6 linked regions of the Macaca mulatta genome follow. The protein of the gene in region 1 interacts with the protein of each later gene in a pairwise test. Links are inferred from orthologs where the notes say so. Each region holds a gene or a part of one and is shown in the gene's direction. Other genes may lie near its edges. The genes, in order: KHDRBS3, PSMF1, BAHD1, INPP5D, SIAH1 and CCDC33.

The links.
Region 2: the proteins of KHDRBS3 (region 1) and PSMF1 interact in a two-hybrid assay, tested with the Homo sapiens proteins (2 studies listed by BioGRID and IntAct). The link is inferred for Macaca mulatta from reciprocal best matches to the Homo sapiens genes KHDRBS3 and PSMF1.
Region 3: the proteins of KHDRBS3 (region 1) and BAHD1 interact in binary tests that used the Homo sapiens proteins (3 or more experiments, as listed by UniProt). The two-hybrid records come from large-scale screens. The link is inferred for Macaca mulatta from reciprocal best matches to the Homo sapiens genes KHDRBS3 and BAHD1.
Region 4: the proteins of KHDRBS3 (region 1) and INPP5D interact in binary tests that used the Homo sapiens proteins (3 or more experiments, as listed by UniProt). The two-hybrid records come from large-scale screens. The link is inferred for Macaca mulatta from reciprocal best matches to the Homo sapiens genes KHDRBS3 and INPP5D.
Region 5: the proteins of KHDRBS3 (region 1) and SIAH1 interact in a two-hybrid assay, tested with the Homo sapiens proteins (3 studies listed by BioGRID and IntAct). The link is inferred for Macaca mulatta from reciprocal best matches to the Homo sapiens genes KHDRBS3 and SIAH1.
Region 6: the proteins of KHDRBS3 (region 1) and CCDC33 interact in a two-hybrid assay, tested with the Homo sapiens proteins (2 studies listed by BioGRID and IntAct). The link is inferred for Macaca mulatta from reciprocal best matches to the Homo sapiens genes KHDRBS3 and CCDC33.

Annotation. Positions count from the first base shown.
Region 1 is NC_133413.1:145,925,448-145,928,947, forward strand, and holds part of KHDRBS3 (KH domain-containing, RNA-binding, signal transduction-associated protein 3), read left to right. Parts: intron 1-1,258; coding exon 1,259-1,405; intron 1,406-3,500. UniProt on the Homo sapiens protein: RNA-binding protein that plays a role in the regulation of alternative splicing and influences mRNA splice site selection and exon inclusion. Binds preferentially to the 5'-[AU]UAAA-3' motif in vitro.
Region 2 is NC_133415.1:83,016,317-83,020,497, reverse strand, and holds the start of PSMF1 (proteasome inhibitor PI31 subunit), read left to right. Parts: upstream 1-1,381; 5' UTR 1,382-1,528; coding exon 1,529-1,657; intron 1,658-4,181. UniProt on the Homo sapiens protein: Plays an important role in control of proteasome function. Inhibits the hydrolysis of protein and peptide substrates by the 20S proteasome. Also inhibits the activation of the proteasome by the proteasome regulatory proteins PA700 and PA28.
Region 3 is NC_133412.1:17,779,041-17,783,243, forward strand, and holds the start of BAHD1 (bromo adjacent homology domain-containing 1 protein), read left to right. Parts: upstream 1-1,403; 5' UTR 1,404-1,418; coding exon 1,419-2,850; intron 2,851-4,203.
Region 4 is NC_133417.1:138,473,440-138,476,939, forward strand, and holds part of INPP5D (phosphatidylinositol 3,4,5-trisphosphate 5-phosphatase 1), read left to right. Parts: intron 1-198; coding exon 199-295; intron 296-2,900; coding exon 2,901-3,182; intron 3,183-3,500. UniProt on the Homo sapiens protein: Phosphatidylinositol (PtdIns) phosphatase that specifically hydrolyzes the 5-phosphate of phosphatidylinositol-3,4,5-trisphosphate (PtdIns(3,4,5)P3) to produce PtdIns(3,4)P2, thereby negatively regulating the PI3K (phosphoinositide 3-kinase) pathways.
Region 5 is NC_133425.1:43,776,374-43,780,399, reverse strand, and holds the start of SIAH1 (E3 ubiquitin-protein ligase SIAH1), read left to right. Parts: upstream 1-1,226; 5' UTR 1,227-1,411; coding exon 1,412-1,502; intron 1,503-4,026. UniProt on the Homo sapiens protein: E3 ubiquitin-protein ligase that mediates ubiquitination and subsequent proteasomal degradation of target proteins.
Region 6 is NC_133412.1:52,149,698-52,153,797, forward strand, and holds the start of CCDC33 (coiled-coil domain-containing protein 33), read left to right. Parts: upstream 1-1,300; 5' UTR 1,301-1,685; coding exon 1,686-1,706; intron 1,707-4,100.

The DNA of each region.
Region 1 (3,500 bases):
TAGGACCGGCATAGCTGAGATGAAAGTGTAGCTGAGTAAATCCCATGCTCATCTCCGGCTCTGTCTATTAGTCTTTCTTTTCTTCGTAAGAGTTCAAATAGTCAAGTCACAGAAGTTGAATCCTTCAAGGGTGAAGTCAAGGCTTATGTGCCTCTAGCATTTCATCATTGGCCTCTTGCTTAGTTGTGAAATTAAAAGGTGGTATTGCCAGGAATTCCTGGGGTTCCCTTGGTTATGGGATAGCCTTTTTGAGAGACTAGAAAGATTTCTTATCTTTTGGAAATTAGTCTCAGGTTTCTGTTAATCTTAATCTGTCTGATATTAACATTGGAAACAAAGATTACTGGAAGACCCAGATTCTGAAATGAGGACCTAACATTGAAGGTTAGTTAGGAAAAGGGAGAGGAGCAAAATCAGGAGTTCCTTAACAATCTGTTTTTTCTCCTCCTAGTTTTCCTCCTACATTTCATTATGGAAACAAAGATTAAAAACTTTTGTCATAATTGTGTAAAATAATGTAATAAAGTCTTTCATTTTGTTTTATTCACTGTTTTATTCTCAGAATATAGTGCTTGGTATGTAGAAATGTTTTTTGAATGAATATGTGAACGAGCAAATTGACATAGCAATGAATGAATGTTTAATCATTCATTCAACAAATCTTTGTTGAACATCTGTATACCAAGCACTTTTCTAGACATGGAAAATGCATCACTAAGCAAAGCAGTCACAGTGTCTGCTCCATGGTAATCACTTTTTACTAAGAGAAAATAGACATGTTTTTTAAAATAAGATATTTCAGATAGTGGTAAGTGCCTTGCACCAGCATCACAGACACACACAGCCAGTGTAGAAGTGAGCACGTGAGCTCAGCCAGGTTGAGAAGCACAAAGGAAGCATGGGCAGCTGCTGCTGAGGGCTGAGCCAAGGAGACTGGAGAAGGTGAAGACAGCCTAGCAGTGGAAGTGAGCAGATGATGGAGCTCCTACAAGTCAGCATCTGGAGTGGGATGTTATTCCAGCAGCAGTAGGAAGCCTTTGGAGTGTGTGTAAAAGCCTGGGAATATCAGGATCACATTTGTAGCTTAAACCGTCTTTTCTAGAGTGGTGTCTACTGTTTCGTGAATTTTCTGTGACAACCGCATGCCAAATGGATTGTTTTTATTTTGGGGGATTAGTTTTTATTTACTTATTTTTTTATTTTTTCATTTCTTACAATGACACATTTTTGAATGTGATTTCTTTTTTCTTTTTTCCAGGAAGAAGAGTTGAGGAAAAGTGGAGAAGCAAAGTACTTCCATCTCAATGATGATCTCCATGTTCTCATTGAAGTGTTTGCCCCACCTGCAGAAGCTTATGCCAGGATGGGACATGCTTTGGAAGAAATCAAAAAGTTCCTCATCCCTGTTAGTACAATTTTTCTTGATTGTTAACTTGTACTTTAAAGTCTTTGCTTTAATCCTTGATAATTCTTGTCTGTAACTGTTATTTGCGTAGCTCCTTTTCCGCTGAAAAGCTGTATGGACATCACCTCACGTAGACCTTACAGTGTCCCTGTGAATTACTGGGCATCATTCCTTCTTTATATATGAGGTGTTGGAATTTCAGGAAGATTCAATAATATGGCCAAGGTTACATAGCTAAAAAACTTGCATAGCACAATCCCTAGTTCAGGTTTTGAAACACGTTTCCTACGATTTTATGTGACACTTTGCAAATTTTTTGTTCTCCAACACAAAACCGTTAGTGCCTTCTGCGTGCCATGCACGGTGCTTGGTGTTGGCATGCAGACTTGAATAAAAGCAGTCCCTGCCCTCGTTTAGTATAATATATTATGTAATTTTGAGGAAAAGAGAAACATCAATAGATGATTTCAGTACAACATGATAAATATAGTAACAGACATAACCATAATGAGCACAGAGGGCATGGGCTATTTAGCTAGCTTCTGCCAAGAATTTTGGATGTTTCGTTAAAAATTGACTATCTGTTTTAACCCTTGCAGACACCTTGACATTGCTAAGGATGTGACAATTTAAAGGGAATACATCTCTACCTCTGTTACAAAAATTGATTTAAGTCTTTTGTGTGATTTGTATGCTCTTGATAAAAGGACTTTTTATGTCATTTGCATGCTCTTGGTAAAAAGAATCATAAAGTATTCAACACTTTGGCGCTGCAGACTATTTTAGAGAAACTGACACATCTGTCAAATAGTTCTCTGGATAAGACTGTCTTTGGTTATCCTAGGCTAGTTTGGTGGATTGACTTACATACTACAGCACTTGTACTGTGATTATACTATGTGTGAGGAAAACAATTGTTATATTTATAGGCAAAGGATATTTAAATCACTTTTGCCTTTAAAAAGCCAGGACATGGAATTGCATTAAGTATGTAATAACCTGGGAACTGAAATGGCTAGTATTTTCTTTAGTTCCCATGAGCAAATATGACAATCTATTTCTTCATTTAGTTTAAAAACAAAATTTCTAAGGGCTTCGCTATGTGATAGGCAGATGTGAACTAATAAAATACATGATCTCTCATGGAGTTTCATGGCAAAGTCAGATATGAATCAGTTTTTCATACAAATGACTACGAAACTGAAACCCTGACAAGACCACAGCTAAGGAGAGGTGTATGTTTTGGTGATGATGCAGTGTGGCGCAGGCAGTGCGTCTCTAGCCAGGTGAGACAGATTCTCTTTTCCACAGATGGCTGCAGTAGCACCTTTTATCCCGTGACCCCTACAGTCCTTCCCCGGGGTAGACTCTAATTTCCCTCACACCGAATCTGGGCTGGCCAAAAGAATCTTCGCCTACTGAAGGTCACCAAGATTTTCTGTTTTCTTTAAATGTTTTTCAGTATTCTCTCACTTAAAATCCATTTTGAGTTAATTTGTTTATTTCAGGTCTCTAAATTTATGTTTTTCTGGATGAATATCCAGTTTTCCTAGCACCATATGTTGAAAAGACAATCATTTCCTCATTCAGTACCTTAGTACCATTGTTGAAAATTTACTAAACATAAATGTAAAGGTTTATTTCTGCACTCTCAAATTCTTTTTCATTGATTTGTATGCCTACTCTTAATGCCAGTAGCATGCTCTTAATTACTTTATCTTTAAGTAAATCTGGAAATCTAGGTTGTGTAAATTGTCCAACTTTGTTCTTTTTCAAACATTTTTTTTTACTTTTCTGGCTTCTTAGCATTTTTATATATGTTTTAGGATCAGCTTCTTAATTTCTGTTTAAAAAAAAAAAAGCTGGCTGGGATTTGATACATATTATATTGAATCTATAGATCAGTTTGGGGATAATTTTCATCTTAACAATTTTGAGTTTTCCAATCCAGGAACATGAAATGTTTCTTCACTTTTAAAAAAGATATTACAAAATGTTTCTCAATAGTGTTTTATCGTTTTCAGGGTATCAGCCTTTTCCTTTCCTTTGCAAAATTGATTTGTAAATATTGTATACTTTTTGATACTATTGTGAG
Region 2 (4,181 bases), on another chromosome or scaffold:
ACATGCAGGTTCCTGCAGACCACGGGGAGGACTTTACTTTTCCATTGAGCGTGATGGGAACCCTGTGAGATTTTGAGCCGAGGGATGTGATCTGACTTGTTTTCTTTTTTCTTTTTGTTTCTTTTTTGAGACGGAGTATCGCTCTGTTGCCCAGGCTGAAGTGCAATGGTGAGATCTTGGCTCATCGCAACCTGCACCTCCCGGGTTCCATCGATTCTCACGCCTCAGCCTCCTAAGTACCGGGGACTAAAGGCGTGCGCCACCACGCCCAGCTAATTTTTGTATTTTTAGTAGAGACAGGGTTTCACCATGTTGGCCAGGCTGGTCTCAAACTCCTGACCTCAAGTGATCCACCTGCCTCGGCCTCCCAACGTGATGGGATTACAGGCGTGAGCCGCCACACCCGGCGGATCTGACCTGTTTTCTAACAGAATCTCTCTGGTTGCGAAGTGCAGTACAGAGAGAGACAGGAATGGAATGGGGCAGTTCCGAGGCTGATGCCAGGCGTCCAACTGAAAGATGACAGGAGCTTGGACCAGGTTGGTGACTGGGATGGGGAAACTAAATTTATTTGGGTAAAAACAATAAGTGGATTTCATGAAACTTGTTGACGTAATGGGTGGTAAAAATCATAAAGGGGGTAGTCAAACAAATGATTGAAATTTGGTAATGGGTCAGGAGCTTCAGCTCTGCCGGCAGCAGTTGTGTCTTCTTGGAAAAATGGTTTCAACTCTCAGCCGTTTTGTCATCTGCAAAATGGGGATAATAATGGTACATCATAGAGTTGTTGAGAAGGTGATGTAAAGGTTTTAGTACAGGATGTAGCACACAATAAACACTTAATAAATGTTATCTTAGAAGCCAGACTGCTAGGTTCCTGTAACCATCTCAGCCATTCACCGGCTGGCTGTTGTCACCTTGGTCAAATTAGCCCTCTGTGCCTCAGTTTCCTCATCTGTGCAATGAGGCACATTAATCGTTAATATCAACTGCATAGAGTTGGGTTGTGAAGATTAAATAAATGAATACAAGTAAAGCATTCAGAATAATGTGGCCGGTAGTAAGCACTGCGTACGTATTAACGATTATTAAGAATGTATTTTAGCCACATTTCCCAGCCCCTTCCCCGGCCTAGCATAACCCATTTTGTGCATGGGAAGTCTGGCTTTCAGCAAGGTGGCCTCTTGGAGGGCGCTGTGCTTGCGTGAAGCGATCCTGTCGGCCGCGGCGAAGACCCAGGTTCCGGCTTTGAGGGGTCTCGCCCCGCGCGGTCCCTGGCGGAACCTTTTAGTTCTGCGCTCGCGTTGCCAGCCCGGCGCGCCTCACGCAGTTGCGCCCGCTCCTGGGGCTACTTCCGGCGGCCCCGCCCCGCCCCGCCCCCGGGCGTCTCCATCTTGGTCTCAGGTGTAGGCTCTGCCAGAGCTAGCGCAGGAGTGAAGCGGAGTTATAGCTACCTCGGCCGCGGAGCTGGCTCACTGCACTACCCCCTCCCCCTTCTCTCCTCCAGACGCCGAAGTCGCTGGCGCTCATGGCGGGCCTGGAGGTACTGTTCGCATCGGCAGCGCCGGCCATCACCTGCACGCAGGACGCGCTCGTCTGCTTCTTGCATTGGGAAATGGTGACACACGGCTACTACGGCTTGGGTGTCGGTGACCAGGTACGCCACGGAGCCGGCCAGGGTGGAGGAGGGAACTGTCTTCTGTCCAAACTCAGAGGCCCGGAGGCCTGGTCCAGAGCGCCCGATTTCCCCGCCTTTCCCAATGCAGGGCCTGGGGCACATGACAGCGTTGGTAAAACCTGCGGGTCGGAGGTTGCTCACCTGCTCCAACCCAGCCCAGAGTCCCTCACAGCACAGCTGGCACAACATGATTTGTAAACTCAAGGGCAGAAACTCGCTTCAACACAGCCTGGCAGCCTCTCAGGCCAGGACTGTGTGGACCTAGCATTCCATAGAATGGAAAAGAATCCAGACAGGAGTTTAGCTCCCCAGAGCACTCCTCACCCACCTAATCTCCTCTGAATTCCTTCCCACCCAGCCTCGGGGTGAGGGGACTGACTCAGTTCCCCCCTCATACCACACTAGAGCCTCCACCAAACATCTGGATCCAAGCACAGGTACGGGAGTGAGCTTTGACCTACTCAGCCCCAGGCCACGGCCCTTTTTTCACCCCTTAGCATGGGCCCAGAGAGTTCACATGCCTTTCACGCTTTACTGAAGGGCCCAGCGTAGTCCACTCGCTACTGCCATCCCCAACTCAAGCTCTAGGAAACAGTCCCCCCTAGAATCGTATACACATACAGCCTGGATGTGAGAGTCATATGAGATTTTCTCCTCATAGCTGTCCCCATAGGGCCAGCCCCCTCCACTCCCATCCCCAGGCTCCACCTCTTACACCTAGGGACGTTGTTGTCATCCCCACCGAGTTCCAGGACCGCTGGGCCCAACCCACCTCACTAATTCTTTGCTCTAGCATTCTTCTGTCTTTGCTGTCTCTTCCCTGTGACCCTCATCCCCACATCCACATCATCCTAGACATCTGCTTGCTGGGACAACTGGGCCTGCCTCCATGCGTGCCCCTCACTGTCACTGTTCTCTCACTCTCAGAACCAAGACCAGCCATGGGAAACAGATCACCCCATCACCCTTCCTCTCCTTTTTGACTGCTTCAGCCCTCAACTCCTCTAATCATTTTTTTTAGCTTCTCAAATAGAGTCTTAATTCTCCTCTCCTGACACAGCTTTAGGGACCCGTCTTCAAACTTGTTTTGTACATTCTGAGCACTTAGGCAAGTATCCCCTTTCCCCTCCCCCTCACTGCTGTCCCTATTCCTCTCTGTCTCTTAGAACTAAAGACCAAGACCACGATACCCCTCTCACACTTTACCTCCTTCAGCAGGAACCAGAGCCTAAGAACTGTCAGGGATTTCTGGCTCTTCCCCTGCCCGCCCCCGACCTCAGTTATCTCACTGGGACCCCAGGTACACACTCAGGATCCCCATTCCCACCTCCAAACTCACACATACTTCATCTCTCAAATGGGCTCTATGACTGGAGATGAGGATGGAAAAGAACAGCCAGCCTTTCACACACACACACCTGGAAGCAGGAACCATTTCACCTTCCCAAACACATCTGTCCCTGTCCTTTCTCTTTGTGCTGCCCTTCATTCCACATACCTTCCAAATGCCTTTCAGCATTTCAGACCTTAGTACCAGGTAGAGACACATTTCAGTGTCAGGCTCCTGTTTCAGTGCATAGTCCCCCTAACAGAAATCTTGTCTCCCCACTTGTCCTACTCCAGCTTTTTAATCTTGAGCAGCTCTTCACTTGCCCCAGTCATTTTATTTCAGCTTTTCGTAGATTCTTCAAAGAAACTGATATCTGGGATGGTGCAGGGGACAGTGGGGCTGAGAAGAGGAGTAAGATTTGATTTTGACCTGGGAGCTCCTCCATTGGCCCTCAGCTCTCTTGTCCTTCAGATGGAACAGCTGTGCTCTGCACTGTCCCTTCTCATGTACCTCACTCCCCTTACATACCCCTAACTAGCTACTTCTACTCTGCCACACTGTCAGAACCCTGTCCACCTCTGCTCCGGAACTTGTTCTAGAGGGTGTGCCTGATGCCCTTCTCTTCTTGCCATTCCACAAATAAATATCAATCGCTGTGAATCTGCTCCCACCATTCTTACCCTCACTCATCCTGTTGAATCACTTTGACAGTTTGGGAACATCAGTTCACATAAGTCGACACCTTCTTTTAGCTGGCATTATCACCTTTACATACACTCAAGGCTGCAAAATTTTCGGATGAAATGTACAGAAAGAATACAATCTCATTTTAATACTGTTTTTTTCTGTTGTTGTTGTTGTTGTTGTTGTTTTTCCAAAAAAAAGGCCTTGACCAATTCCCCAAGGTCCATCTGATTTTTCTCTGTTCATGGTGCTATTTTTTGAGCTTCTGCAGGCCAGAAAAAGATGCTGGTTTCAGAAATCTTTGGGGAGGCCCAGGACCCTGGGGAATGGGGTTTTTGTAAGGCATTGCCACCTTTCTTCCTGAATCTTGCATGCTCTTGAAGGAATGGGTGTTTGGATTGCAAACTAGAGCGTGGTGTATTTTTGCTTCTCTCTGCCTTTTCTCCTTGATTGCCAGTGGGGCTCAGGTTGCACTTGTCCTCCTGTCAC
Region 3 (4,203 bases), on another chromosome or scaffold:
CCCTGAGACTCTTCCCCACCTCCTTGCATCCTGCCCCTGCCTACAAAGAGGGAGAACTGAGCACAACTAGCAAGGCAGCGCGTTTGTCTCCTGTGTTAGTGCTTCTCTTTGATACTTTCTTTTCCCAACTCTTTGTGGCCGGCAGGGGTTTAAAGCGGTTTGGCAGATCTAGTGTGCAGCCCCTGGGTTTTCTCTATCCCCAGGAATATGCTGATCCCGGCCATACTGTTACCCTTGCCCTAGGTACTGGCACCCTTTGGGCTGCTCTTGCCTGGAATTTGAACCGAAGTTCAAATGAAACTTCTCCACCATGGGCCCCTCAAAGCTGAGACCTCTCCACCATGGGCCCCTCAAAGCTGAGACCTCTCCACCATGGGCCCCTCAAAGCTGAGACCTCTCCACCATGGGCCCCTCAAAGCTGAGACCTCTCCACCATGGGCCCCTCAAAGCCAGGCCTTCACCCTTGATAGAGCTTTTCCAGCCAGACCCAGGTTGTGGCGGTCTTGCTTTATGTGCCAGGGGAGGAGTCCTCAGAGACTGACTTTGCCTTCTTCATGGCCCAGCAGGCAGGTTCCCCATCTCAACTCTTCACTATCTGTCTTCTTATCCTCCTGTGGCCAACCTCAGAAGCCCTGTGTTTGGGGAGGGGGTTGTTAATGCCTTGGTTATACTTTTGAAAGAATAGATGAACTCCTGGCCAAGCGCAGCAGCTCACGTCTGTAATCCCAGCACTTTGGGAGGCTGAGGCGGGCATATCACGAGGTCAGGAGATCGAGACCATCCTGACTAATATGGTGAAACCCCCTCTCTACTAAAAATACAAAAAAATATTAGCCAGGCATGGTGGCGGGCGCCTGTAGTTCCAGCTACTTGGGAGGCTGAGGCAGGAGAATGGCATGAACCTGGGAGGCGGAGCTTGCAGTGAGCTGAGATCTCGCCACTGCACTCCAGCGAGACTCCGTCTCTCAAATAATAATAATAAAAATAATAAAGAATAGATGGACTCCTACCACTCAAGCCCCCATCTTGGGAGGCTCTGTCTTCAGAGCCTCCTCCTATCCAGTGATGAGTATCTAGTGAGAGAAGGACGGAAAGAAAACAAAGAGCTTTGCCACCAGCTCCTCCTATCCCCTGTCCCTGGGGTCTGCATTGCTCCCTAGGCTTTTCAGGGGCTTAGTTCAGAGATAACCCTAGGCTAAAAGGAAAGAGGGGGAACCAGTCCTTGCACAGCTGCTGGTAGCCTGATTCCACTGCACCTTCACACTCTGGAAGGGGAGTCCTGGGAAAACCCATACTGGAGGCCAGGGTCACTGCACCTGGGGCTGGGTAGGCTGCAGTGGGAGAGAAAGCAGGCAGGGGCAGGCCAGAGAGGGCTTCTCTCATTGCCCACCTTCTGTCCTGCAGGTTGGAAGTACTCCATGACACACACTCGGAGAAAGTCTCTTCCCATGCTGAGTTCGGGCCCCAGTGGCCGCCGAGAGCCCCTGCAGATGGAAGACAGCAACATGGAGCAGGGGGCTGAGGGTGTGGAGCCAGGCATGCCTGAGAGCCCAGGTCACCTCACAGGGCGCCGCAAGAACTACCCACTTCGTAAGCGCCCATTGGTTCCTGAGAAGCCCAAGGCCTGCAAAGTGCTGCTGACTCGCCTGGAGAATGTGGCCGGTCCCCGGAGTGCAGATGAGGCTGATGAGCTACCGCCTGACCTGCCCAAGCCCCCCAGCCCAGCCCCATCCAGTGAGGACCCTGGCCTTGCCCAGCCCCGCAAGCGGCGCCTGGCCTCCCTCAATGCCGAAGCTCTCAATAACCTGCTGCTGGAGCGAGAGGACACCGGCAGCCTGGCCGGCACCCGCCGCAGCCGAGCGGGGGATCCCCACCGCAGCCGGGACCGGGACCGTGCTACTGGGGGCTGGTCCTCCTCCAAGAAGCGGCCCCGGCTGGGGGACCTTGGAGGAGGAAGTCGGGACCTGTCTCCAGAGCCAGCACCAGATGAAGGTCCCCGCCGAGATGGAGACCCAGCTCCCAAGAGACTGGCTAGCCTGAACGCAGCTGCTTTCCTAAAGCTGAGCCAGGAGCGGGAGCTACCCCTGCGTCTGCCTCGTGCCCATGCAGAAGTAGATGGGCGCTCCACTGAGCCCCCAGCACCCAAGGCCCCGAGGCCAAAGTGGCCCAAGGTCAATGGCAAGAACTATCCCAAGGCTTGGCAGGGGGCCAGCTCTGGGGAGGCTGCAGGCCCACCCGGCTGGCAAGGCTGCCCTGATGAGTCATGGCCATCTACAACTCCTCGCGGACCATCCATCCAGCCATCTCATCAGCCCCTGAGCAAGGCTCTGGAGAGCCCTTTGGGGCTGCGCCCTCACCTACCCCTGCTGATGGGTGGACAGGCGGCTCTGAAGCCAGAGCCTGGGCGCCCAGGCGAGGAGTCACCCGCCCCTAAGCAGGAACTGCATCAGCCCTCGTTCCCCACACCTCAGCTGTCTCCGCTGCCGATGCCTGGCAACCCCGCCGACTATAGTGGCCTATGTGTTGGGCCCGAGCTCACTGCACTAGGCAGCTTCTACCTGTACTGTGGCCAAGAGGGGCTGCAGTGTGGGGGCTACTCGCCCTGCCCCATGCTCCCTGAGGGCAAGCTATCCCCAGTGGCTGCACCTCAAGAAGAGGGGCTCCTCTTAGCCCCGAGCTCAGTGCCCTCAGGCACCCCTTTTCAGCACCCTCCCTGGGGCTCCTCTCGCTACTGCTCTAGTGAGGACACTGGAGTGAATGGCTACAGCATCTGCGGAGTGTTGCCCCTGTCTGTCACCCGCGCTGGCACTACCTGTGGCGGCTGCCCATACAAAATGCCTTTTGCAGCAGGTGAGGCTTCCTGGGTCCGGGATATACTGAGGAGTCTCAGAGACACAGCATCCCAGGAGGTTGGGCTGTTGATCTGAGCAGGGGTCTCCCTTGGGGTCTGGCTGCTAACTGGAAGGTAGGGGCTTTCAGAAGCGAGAACTCCCGTAGTCTGTGCCCCAAGCAGAGGAGCATTCCCAAGAACAGGGCCCCATGTATAGTTGTGGACAGCCTTGCTCTTCCCAGGCTGCCTGTGGAGATTCTTGGCCTGGCAGTTAGGTAGCATTGCAGTGGTACAGGCCACAGGAAGGCCTCTCTTCCCTCCTCATCCTGGGATACTTCTTCTTAGACTCTGAATAGCAGGTTAGTTATTGGAATTAGGACTTTTACCAAACTGTTCTAATGGCCTGGCCCTTCTGCCCTCCTCGAGGAAAGCTAGAATTCCTTACTTTCTAGAAACCAGTACTCTCTGCATGCAGGTGAAGTTCAGTATTCATGGGAAGAGTGGTAGGTACCAGGCTCAGTAGGTGGTACCTACTGCACAGGGCAGCTTTTCCCTGGCTATACAGGCCTTGAAAAAGAAGTGCCCAGACTGAGCATCACTTTGCTGGGTGTGGATAGAGAGGGTACACCGTGAGAACAGACAAACAGAGTTCCCTGACGTGGATGGAACGCAATCAGGGCCCACAGCTTTGGTGTCTGCCTGCCTGACAAGACCCAGACACCTGCCCATGCTCCGGCTGTTGAGACACTCCCAGAATCATTTCTCTTCCCTAAACTGGCAGAGGTATCCTCACCTGCCTCTCCAGGCTCCCTGCCTGCCTCCTGGGTGGAAATGAGACGTCCTGGCCAGCAGGTCTGGCCTGCTGCTGGGGAGGTGAGGGCTGAACCTTCCAGATCTCCCTTCCCCCCACATCCTTCCTTGTAGGGGTCTATAAAACAACTTTATAGACCAGTTGGCCCTGGCCAGACTGGTTATTTCAGGTTGTGGCTTGAGTTAGAGTTCTTGTGACATGAGAACAGGCTGCTGCTGAGGGTTTTCCTTCTTTTTTTGTGCCATTCCCCAAGTCTAGACCCTCATCCTCTCCCCCTAATAATAAGGACACCAGTAAACACCACGTACCAGGCACTGTTCTAAGTGCTTTACATATGGGAGGCTGCTTGCCACGTAATTGAGCACAGACTCTGGAGCCAGACTGCCTGGAGTGGAATGTTCTCCCCCACTTCCCTAGCCATGTGACTATGGGACAAGTCAGTAGCTGCTCTGTGTCTCAGTTTTCTTAACTATAAAATGGGGGTAATGATACCTACCGCGTAGGGGTTTTGTAAGGATGAAATGAGTTAATGTGTTCATTAAAAAACCAGTCAGTTACCAAA
Region 4 (3,500 bases), on another chromosome or scaffold:
CTCCGTGGATCCACAACAGGCATAACTAATCAATCACTGAACTCTTATGAGGCCTCAGAATCTTGCTTAACTCACCTCCCCAGGTACTCACTATTCACTGTGCAGCTTTAGCTTGCAAATGGAAACCCCTTTGCCATCCCTTGTCTAAGCTCTGGAAGCTGGGCCCTCACATGCTCTTTCCCGGCCCTTTCCTTCCAGACTTTGTGAAGACAGAGCGTGATGAGTCCAGTGGGCCAAAGACCCTGAAGAGCCTCACCAGCCATGACCCCATGAAGCAGTGGGAAGCCACCAGCAGGTAAAGTGGGTGTGGGGTAGGTGTGAGGAGGGTGGATATCAGGGACTCATGACAAATTAGCATGGTTTGGCCGGGTGTGATGGTTCATGCCTGTAATTCCGGCACTTTGGGAGGCCAAGGCTGGAGGATCATTTGAGCGCAGGAGTTTTGAGACCAGCCTGGGCAACATATCGAGACCCTGTCTCTAAAAAAAAAAATTTGGCTAGGTGCAGCGGTTCATGCCTGTAATCCCAGTACTTTGGGAGGCCAAGATGGGTGGATCACTTGAGGTCAGGAGTTTGAGACCAGCCTGGCCAACATGGTGAAAACCCATCTCTACTAAAAATACAAAAATTAGCTGGGCATGGTGGCACATGCCTGTAATTCCAGCTACTCGGCGGGGGCGGGGGTGCTGAGGCACAAGAATTGCTTGAACCCAGGAGGCAGAGATTGCAGTGAGCCAAGATTTTGCCACTGCACTCCAGCAGTGACAAAGCGAGACTCTGTCTCAAATAACAATAATAATTAGCTGGGTGTAGTAGTCCTAACTACTTAGGAGGCTGAGATGGAAGGATTGCTTCAGCCCAAAAGGCTGAGGCTGCAGTGAGCTGTGATTGTGCCACTGCACTCCAGCCTAGGCGACAGAGTAAGACCTTGTCTCAAAACAAAACAAACAAAACACTAGCATGGCTCTGCAGACCCAGGGCCTGTGAGAAGGTGAACTGAAGCACAGAGAGACCCAGGACACAGGAGAAAGAAGCTCCAGCCCAGGAGAGGTGCTCTCCTGACTGCTCGGTGTCGTTTGACTGCTGGGGAGGTTGGTGTGACTGTGACAAAGCCTGGGAAACTCTAACGTGACGGAAAGTTCAGTTTGACTCAGCTAACATTTTGGAGTCCCTATGATGTGTCCAGTTCTAGAGAAATCAAGGCAAATTCAGTGCAGTCCCTGACTTAGGAACCTGCGGCCTAGTGCATGAAGAAGTGACTGCAGAGAGGATGGAGAGATTCCAAGTCTACAAATGGTGGCTGTGTCTCCTGTGGGACAAACGACACCAGCAATCATGGGATCTGTGGCCACCAAACCCCACCCTATCACTAGCAAGAAAAATCACTGCGGGAAAATGCACACCGGTTGTTCTCGGCAGAGACTGAACTGAGAATAGTACAGATGTTAAAGTCTGTATTACCAGAATACAGACATCCTTGGTAGCAGGGCTGCCCTAACTCACCGATGTGGTCTCGAGTTCCAGAATCAAGTTCTGGTCTCTTTGCCAGCTCACCAGCCGAGGAGGCAGAACCATGCCAGCAGCAGACATAGCTTGTTCCTCTCCTCCCTCCCTTCCCCACAACACTCGTCCCCACCAACCCTTGCCCTCACCCCAGCCACCCCCGTTGAACACAGGAATTCTCATCTCTAGCACATTCCCTGATCCACTTCCAGCTTCCGACGTTCACAGCTGTGGGCACACAAGCATCCCCTTTCCCTCTTTCCCTCCTATGATAATCCCATCAGCAAATGCATCCTGGCTCTGAAGTGTCTACTGGGTTCCAAAATCAGGATCAGTGTAGGGAAACAAATTCTTTTCCATTTTGACTAGCATGAGAACAAGCATTTATTTCTGAAGCAGACACTGGTGGATGGCAGCAAGGTACAACTCGGAACCAGGCTGGCGGAGCACATGGGAGATGTGGAGTGTCCCTGACAATCTATATACTCAGAACTCAGTTCTCAGGAGGCGAGTGCCTGACACAGTGACAGCATGCAATGTATCTGTTGGGGCCACCTCACCCAGGCCTGGGCCATGCCCTCCATAGCTTTAAGCTGATTGCCCCCCATTCCAGGCTCCAGCCTTGATCTCTGTGACCTCACACTCATTTTTCTAAATATGCACGTGGCTGCCTCCATGCTGACGCTGCACACACAAACGTGTGGGCTGATGTGTTCCAGATGAACCCGTGCCACAGTCTGCCCTGAAAATCCCCTCCTTCCTGCCACCCAGGCCACCCCCCACCATCTCTTTGCCCCACCAGCCTTGCAGCTTCTCACTCCATCCTCTGCACCTGCTCACCAGCCTTCAGACTGTCCAGGAACAGGCCAAACCCCTCTCACCTGGAGGCCTTTGCAAGTACTCTTACCACTGCCGAGAACACTCTCCCCTTCTTTCTCTCTTGTCTGCTTATCTTCTTATCTCAGCTAAAAGACCACCCCTCAGATGGGGCCTCCTGGGGCCACCCAATGCCCAGTTGGTCCCAATGCTTCACTAGCCTCCATCTCTTCCCCTTGTTACTCTCAGACTTCAGCACTACATCAATATTGTGTCTCTGTGCCACTGAGCTTGTTTTTCTCTCCCATCAAAAGTGAGTTCCATAAGAATAGAGACCACGGCTGCCTCACTCACAGCCATATTCCCTCCTCCTGGCCTGGGGCCGGGTGCGTTCAAGGCCCTCAGTAACCACAGTGTTGTGTGGATAGATGAATGAATGAATGAATCACTGCCCAAGAGGTGAAGGAGTTGAGGAGAGCCCGAGGGAGCCCCAGGGTTGTCAGAGGACACTTTCCTTGGGCTGGTGCTGACCCTGAGAAGGGAAGGGACCCCTGAGATGTGACTCCATGTCTTCCCTGCAGGGCCCCTCCATGCAGTGGCTCCAGCATCACCGAAATCCTCAACCCCAACTACATGGGAGTGGGGCCCTTTGGGCCACCAGTGCCCCTGCACGTGAAGCAGACCTTGTCCCCTGACCAGCAGCCCACAGCCTGGAGCTATGACCAGCCACCCAAGGACTCCCCGCTGGGGCCCTGCAGGGGAGAAAGTCCTACGACACCTCCCTGCCAGCCACCCATATCACCCAAGAAGTTTTTACCCTCGACAGCAAACCGGGGTCTCCCCCCAAGGACGCAGGAGTCAAGGTGAGTATCCTCTTCATTAAGACGGCTCCCTCCCTACTTATGAAAGCGCCCTGGGCTTTCACCCTAGAATGGAAGCCTCAGAAGGGCCACAATTTGTGTCTGCTTGGCTCATGACTTATGCCTGGGGCCTGAACACAGCAGGCTCCTAAGACATGTATGTGGAGTCTTCCATGTCCTAACCTATTGGTGCAACTCGATTTCTTTTTAAAGGGTAAAAATTTGTAAAGATATTGCCAAGAAAAGGAACCTCCTATAAAAACTATATACATATCAAAAAACAGGTTTTGGGCCGGATGTGGTGGCTCACGCCTATAATCC
Region 5 (4,026 bases), on another chromosome or scaffold:
GTCTATTTTCAATTATATTTCTTTTCCTAATGTTGTTTTGTGTAGCCTGTATTGTAAAATGAGGTTGAGGTGATTGGACACACTGTTAATAGAGTGAGGAAGTGGGTAGAGTTAAAATTTCTTGCTGAAAGTGGGTAATCTGCAGTTCCTTGCATTGGGTTCACTCCTCACTGCCAGCTCTTGCTGCATTTGGAGGCTGCCCTAAGCATGATGTAATGACAGGTTAAACCTCTGCACGCACTAGCTGATGCAATGCAAATCTGAGGCCCAGGACTTTATTGGGGCAAGGGTAATGCTTGTTTAAAAACAAAACAAGCTACTCTGTGTTTAATGAGGCCATTTAAGATGGCTTTCCCAGAGTGGGAAGAGTATAATCTCTTAGGAGGTTTAAGTAGGAGTTTAATGTGGCAGAAGTGTGCTTACAACTTTTCCTGCGAAGTCTTTTCACAGCGGGGAAGGAGAGTTTAAAATATAGTGCCCATAGGAGTAGAAATGAAGTGAGCTAGAATTGAGTAAATATGGTAGTTGATGCCCGGTAAATAGCTGTTGAATGAATTAAGGAGAATGTTTTCACTCTAAAAATTAAGTTTGCACGATGAACCGGGAATGTAGCGCCGGTGTGGGCACGCATTTCCCAGATACGCCAGATACGCTGTAGCTCTTAGATCGAACCGTGAGAAACTGCCGATATTCGACTGTTGTGACCTACCGAAAACAGCATGGTTCTACCTAATTTTAAACTGGTGGAAATGCTGAGGAAGGCTCGATGTCGCTGGGGTGGGATGGGGTCAACAGCGGGGTGGCGGGGCCCCGCCCTGGGCTGCGGGGCGGGGCTTGCGGGCACAGCCCCACCCCTGCGCGAGCAAGACGGGCACCGCCCTGCGCGCTGCGCGCCCTGAGCTGGCCCTGGCGCCCCGGGTTGGAGTGGGCGTTCCCAACGCAGGCCCAGCCCCGGCCGAGGCTCCAAATGGCTCTCCAGCAGGCAGGCTTCTGCAGTAGCCCCTGAGCTGGCTCAGGGAGCGCACTTCCTTCGCAGTGAGCGCGTCGCCCCCTGCATCCCCGGCCTCCACCGGAGCTGGGGAGCTGGGCAGTAGCCTACGGAGTGAATCTGGAGAAGACAAACTTGGGAGACAGACGAAAGCTTAGGGCACACTGGAGGACAGCGCAGCTGTGGCTCCCATTTTTGGAGATGCAGCCGAATTTGAGCTCACAGGGAGGTGTGGTTGCCTCCTGGGGATGGGAAGGCTTCCTTTCTCCACCTCTGTAACTCGTGCTTCTGAGAAGTAAATGGATATTTGGATCCTGACCTCAGACGCGAATTTGGGTCTTCTGTGCTTAGGAGCAGAAAGTGCCCAGGAGGGGCCTGTTCCTTTACTTCTTGGGGGAAACGCAATGCGCGGCCTGACTTCTCATGACGGGAAAGGCTACTCCACCTTCTCTGTACTCCTGGAGGGGAGTCTTGTTCACATGTTTACCAGCGGCCAGGACAAGGAAGAGAAAAGGTATTGACATTAAGAGGATAGGTTGCTGAGGCTATGAAGCTTGAACGCTATTAGTCAGTGGAACCTGTCTGGCTTAGGGAATGGCTGCAGCAGAATCCAGCCGTTTCCGAGGTTCTCAGTCATGTTTCATTTGGGTTGCTGTGCTTTTTTATGTTTAAATCAAACTTCAGGTTACGTCATGACTTCTGCAGGGCTGTCCTTAGTTCCTACTGCAGGGCGGCTGTGTGGTTGGGATTCCTTTTCTGTTTCAAGATGGAGCTGGGTTCCACCCTTGGAGCTTTGAGAGGCTTTAGCAGTTGCTGTCCTGTAATACCTCCATTCACAAGAAATACCGTTCACATTTCAGTTCTTTTTCACACTTTGAATAGGAGTTAAAATGTGCTTTCTATAGTGTTTGGAAAATGGTAAAGATGTATTGTGAGCCTGAACTGTTGATGATAAATGTATAACTATTGCTAGGTCAAGAAATTGTGAACAACAGTGTTTTTCTCGGTCTCTAGCTATGTTGTGTTAAATATAAACTGAGTTTACTGCCCTTGGATGTGATTCCTTGGTTTGGTTTAGTAATCTGAAAGGCATTGGTTGACTAGACTGTTTTGTGCCCAAGGAACCACTTTGTAATTGTTATGCTGCTTACTGAAGTAAACTGGACCATGCAGTAGGCATACAGCATACAGCCAGGGTGTTTTGGCAATACTGAGCCCACTGTTTTACAAGTGACATAAAATGGATGTCATATGTACAAAGAATCTACTCAGAGGGAAACTGGATTACAGGAGAGCTCCTTTATAGTCCTTTGTCAGGGGACAGAACACCTGGGTCACACTGGGCTTCAGATGAGAGTTGATTCATGTTCTGAGTCCGTATGATGAGACACATTATGATGGAATTCTGTCACTTTTGTTGCCTCTTGAACTTTAAAATATCCTTTTAGTGATGTGGAATTAATCTTTATTTTTCCTTCACCCTAAGCCCTCATTTAAGCTATCAGTTGGTAACCACTTGGGTAATCTAGAAACCAAGTTGCATTTACTTGGTCACATTGGTAACCAACATTGTTTCTTAAAAGTTCCCTGCAACAGAATAATGACTATAATTGAATTAAAACATTAATTTTGAAGCTTTAATTTTGTAATATGGCTTAGTGGCCGGGCGCAGTGGCCAATGCCTGTAATCCCAGCACTTTGGGACGCCGAGGCCGGGGAATCACGAGGTCAGGAGTTTGAGACCAGCCATGGTGAAACCCCGTCTCTACTAAAAATACAAAAATTAGTCGGGCATGGTGGTAGGCACTTGTAATCCCAGCTGCTTTTGAGGCTGAGGCAGGAGAATTGCTTGAACCTGGGAGGCAGAGGTTGCAGTGAGCAGGCACCATTGTACTCCGGCCTGGGCAACAAGAGCAAAACTCCATCTCAAAAAAAAAAAAAAAAAAAAAAGAATATGGCTTAGTAGAGTTACTAGGAGTGCACTCTTAGGACATCGACTGATCTTTTTTTCCACCCCCAAGACAAATAGTGGCCTGCAATATCCCAGCCCAGGTAGCTTCCTGGGAAAAGTTGCTTGTTTTATGTTTGACTCAGCTTGACTAGTTACATTGTCGATTATTTCTTCCAGATGACATTTACTTGTTAAATAACGTTGATTACTCTGCTGATGAATGTTTCAGCAACGCTGGAGAACCCTAGGCTGCAAGGGGTTCTTCACCTGTTGACTTCATCCCCCACCCCCAGTATGGTATATTATCTCTGCCGTGCTATCATCTTTATTCTTTCCTTTTTCACTGTCTCTTCCTGACTCTCCTCCTTTGTTCATTATGTCTGATACATATTGTGGATTGAAAGTGGAACAGAAAGATGTACTTTCTCTACCAGACTAAAAAGTTTTGAGATGGCCCTCCATTTCTCCTATGTCTCCCTTCACCTTTGTTGTGTGTTTATTTTTATATTTTTGCTACCTTCACTAGCGAGTACATCCCCTCACTCTTGAGGTGAGCACTAATCAGTAAGAAATAAGATTAATACCTGGCTGATGATAATTTGGGGGGAAGACTTAATTAGGTAAAGATGGATAATGGGATGGCAGCAGACCTTTCCCCTTGTGACCCCTCCCCTCATTCCCAAAGTACACCTCTAGAGTAGATAATGGCTTACCATTAAGAAGAGTTAATGGAAGGTTCTCTGATTCTTTGGCATTGGAACTACACTTGTCCCGCGGTATCCTCGGAAGATTAGTTCTAGGACCCCCTTCCCCATACCAAAACCTGAGGATGCTCAAGTCCCTGATAGAAAATGGTGTCGTATATGTATGTGCATATTCTCCTGTATAATTTAAATTATCTCTGGATTACTTAATACAATGTAAATAATACGTAAATAGTTGTTATAGACTGTATTTTAAAAATTTTGTATTATTTGTAAATTTTTCTGAATATTTTCAATCCATGGCTGTGGTGAAGTCCTTGGATGCAGACCGTGTGAATACAGAGTGCCGATTTTATCCAGGACTTCACCTGTAACTCCCTATA
Region 6 (4,100 bases), on another chromosome or scaffold:
CTGAGACCTTTCCACACATACACACTGTGCTGGGACATGCTGGCCCACAAGGGAGATAAAGCACAGTGCTCACAGCCAGGCCATTCCTGGTCAGGCCCCCAGTCCCAGAGCCCCAGCGGTACCACTCTTGGCAGGCCTAGACGGGGAGAAAATTAGGAGTGGGGTTCCCGACTTCCATCTCCCACCAGTGTCTGGGTGGTCTTGGCTGGTCCTTTCAGTTCTAATCAAAGACAAAGCCTCAGTTTTTCTGTCTCTAACCTGGGGAGAACCACATCCTCGCTGCTGCTCTTTCTGGAGGGGGGGTAGAGAGGGAGGCTGGGAGGCCTCTGCAAAGCAGGAGTCTTCTGCCTCCTGGCTGCCAGGCTGGTCCTGCTCTTCGGCCAGATTAAAAGAATCTCCAACATGGGGCCCAAAATAGGTAGAAATGAGGCAGGCCACAGGGGCCTCCCAAACACCTCTGACCACCACCCAGCACCCCAGATCCCTCCTCTTCTAGCCCAGGATTTCTGATGATCCTTCAAAGCCCAGTTCAGACCTCACCTCTCTATAGAACAACTCCCCACCCCAGGCCAACGACTAGCCTCTCCTCATTCTGCCATCTCACCTCACCAAAAGCACTTAGAACCCTGCCTGGTGTGCTGCAAATGCTCCACTAAAAGACATACTTTGTCTTCGTAATAATTTCTTGCAGCACTCAGAACTGAACCACAATCTTTGGTTCATACTCTAGTGCCATCACTGGCCCATCATGGCTTTCTTTAGTTGTTTAATTCTAATTTATTTTCAATAATATAATGAACTCCCATTAACTGACCACCCAATCTAAAAACCCAAAGGTTTAGAATGTATGCTCTTACCCTCTTCTCTCCCCCATCTTCCCACCCACCCTCCCAGAAGAAACCATCCTCTTGAAGTTTGTGTTTATTATTATCAAATAAATGGAAGACTATAGGTACCCAAAGAGGCACGATGGCTGGTAGATTCTTCAACAGAAGTAGCTGTTTTACCGATCAAGCTGCCACGCTCTTGAGAGCAGTGTCTGGCTTCCTCTTTTGCTGCAGTGTGAGCGGCATGGGGCTGGCCATGCCACAGGGTCGGTGGAGACTATGTGAGGCACCAAGAACAGGAAGGGTGAGGCCTGAGTGCCAGGCGGCAGGTGGAACACAGCTCCAGGAATAGGGAAAAGAGATTCGTGTTCTAGCTCACTGCACCTGGACAGGTGCCTGTGTGACTTTGGCCCTGCCCTGTGACATCACACAATGTTGCCCAGGTGACCCAGCTAGGTGGAAAAGCTCACTGCTTTTCCAGGCCTGGGCAGAGAGAGGGCTCTCCCATCTCTCCACCGTCCTGGGAGTGCCAAGAGTCAATCGCCTCGTTGCTGACCCTGTCCAACTGGCCATGGCCTGCAACCCCCTAGGCCCCTCCACCCATAGACCATCTTGCTGCTGAGAGATCGAGGACCTGCCCCCACCTGGCCACCCTCCCCCTTCCCCAACATCCAGACCCCAGGGCTGGTGTGTGGCACCCCTGAGACCACATTGACCTCCATACTGTCCACTAACCATAAGGACTCCAAGACGCCCAGGCCAACTGTCTGGGCAGGACTGATGCCTGATCACCCACTTATACCAGGTACTCGTCCCCAAGATTGTTAAACAAGGCCAGACACTCCTGGCCTCAAGAGGATGGGACTGAAAAACAAAAAGGTAAGGCCAGGGGAATGGGCCACACACCTGCATGAATCCATCCCTCCTTCAAAGTCTCTCCTTCAAAGTTTCATTTGTTCCTTAATCATGACAAAAGCTTCCCTTCTCTGGGCCTCAGTTTTCACAGCTGTGAAATGGGGAGTGAGGCGGTCTCTGTGGCTCTCCCAGGTTAGCTGCCCTATACTCTTGGGCCACGTGGGAACTGGAATGCAGTGTACTTGCGGGTGTTGTCAGTGCTGACCACCCTTACCTGCTTGTTTCTGCCCTCTTGTTGCTGGGGTCACACAGTCTGAGAGCCCACTGAGATGGTTCATTACCCCCATCCAATATCTCCCAGGATATTCCCAGGCTGCTACCTTGGCAGCCCTGATGCCCCCACTGCCCCCATGCTCTCCTAGCCCTGGCCCTGATTTTCTGGGGCCTAGGCCCCTGCCCTGGAACGCAGATGCTTGGGTCTCTGGAGAGAAGGGATTTTTGTGTGTTTTGTTCATCTCTGTATCCCCAGCACTCAGAACAGTGCCTGGCACATAGTGGGTGCTTAATAAAAAGCTGTGGCCTAGCAGCAGGGTTCTGCCAGGAAGGGACTAGAATCTTATTGCAATGAGATATAAACAGTTCAGTGCAAGGGACCCCTTACCTTCCTCTCACTAGCAAGGCAGAGCCCCTGCCCTAGATGGTGTTACCCACAGGGATACCAGAAGGAGCTGAGACCAAAGGCACATCGGTACTTGCAAACGGGGAATACCCTCTTTGTAGTTATACTCAGCTTGAATAAGCCAAATAGCTGGGGGTGCTCAGGCCTTAGTGTGATTTCCACTTTATTACCCTTGATTTTGATGTCTCTGGTTCCTGATGTTCTCTGCCCACAGCTGCCCCTGAACCTCCGCAGACTCCACCCTCCCCATTAAGACTCTTTCTGTAATGCCACACACTCAGGACCAGGCACCAGTTTGATCTGGCACCCTAAGCTGCCAGGTGGTCCCCACCTGCCCCACATAGCTGGGATTGGGGATCCAGGGAGTGTGCGTGGGAGTCCTGAGAAGGAGCCAAGGTTGCTTTGATTGGTAGCTTTGAGAAGCACTTTGATAGCTGGGTAGAATCGCCCATAAGGATGCTCATCATGGCCGGGGGGGTGGCTCACGCCTGTAATCCCAGCACTTTGCGAGGCTGAGGCAAGTTTAAGACCAGCCTGGTCAACATGGTGAAACCCCGTCTCTACTAAAAATACAAAAATTAGCTGGGTTTGGTGGGACACAGCTGTAATCCCAGTTACTCAGGAGGCTGAGGCAGGAGAATAGTTTGAACCTGGGACATGAAGGTTGCAGTGAGCCGAGATCGTTCCACTGCACTCCAGCCTAGGCAACAGAGTGAGATTCCGTCTCAAAAAAAAAAAAAAAATGATGTTGGCCAGGCACAGTGTCTCACTCCTGTAATCCCAGCACTTTGGGAGGCCAAGGCAGGAGTTTGAGACCAGCCTGGCCAACATGTTGAAACCCTGTCTCTACAAAGAGCGAAACTCCGTCTCAAAAGAAAAAAAAAAAAAAAAAAAGGATGCTCATCATGTATATAATATATATATTTGTGTTTCTTCTTTTGTGAATACCCAGTTCATGTTTTTTTAATTGGGTAATGCTTATAGGTTTCAGTGCTCTTTGTATACTACGGATATTAATCCTTTTTTAAATATATAGCAAACATTTTCTCCTTTTTTCCTTTTCTTTGTATTGCAGGGCATTTTGGATCATTACAGAAGTTTGTATAGATTTTTTAAATGTAATCAAACCTATCCTTTTTTAATGATTTCTGACTTTTGTGTCATCTTTGGGAATGCTTCTCTGCTCCAAAGAACACAATTCCTCTTGCTGCCACCAATGGATACTCAGGTTATGAGTTCAACGGGGTATCCACTGTGGAGCAGAGAAGGGACCCACATCCAAGGAAGCATGGTCAGAGCACAGCAGAGACAGCAAGAGCGTGGGGTCAGACGGACCCTGCTTCCAGTTCCAGCCCCGGCCCCACTAGCTAAGCCGTGTGCTTTCACGCAAGAGGTTTACTTTCTCTGAGTGTGCTTCCTCACCTGAAAAAGAGCTTTCCCCTGACCACCGTAACTCCCAGGCAAGTTTAGATGCCAAAGCTAGAAGGAACATGGGGAACCATTTTTAACTGAAAGTCCTTGTGAAACTGCTGGGAAATAGCCCCACTGCAGTCAAATAACTCGCCTAAATGACAGATCCGGGCAGTCAGGCACCCTGCCTCGCAGCCCAGCCCCTCTCCAGCTGGTGTGACTTTTCAGATGCAGGGTCCTTCTGGAGGGCAGAACCGGGCTCAGCTCCTCAGGCCTCCCAGACTGCTGGAGGAGAGGGGTGGCAAGGGAGGCGTGGGTGGAAGAGTTTG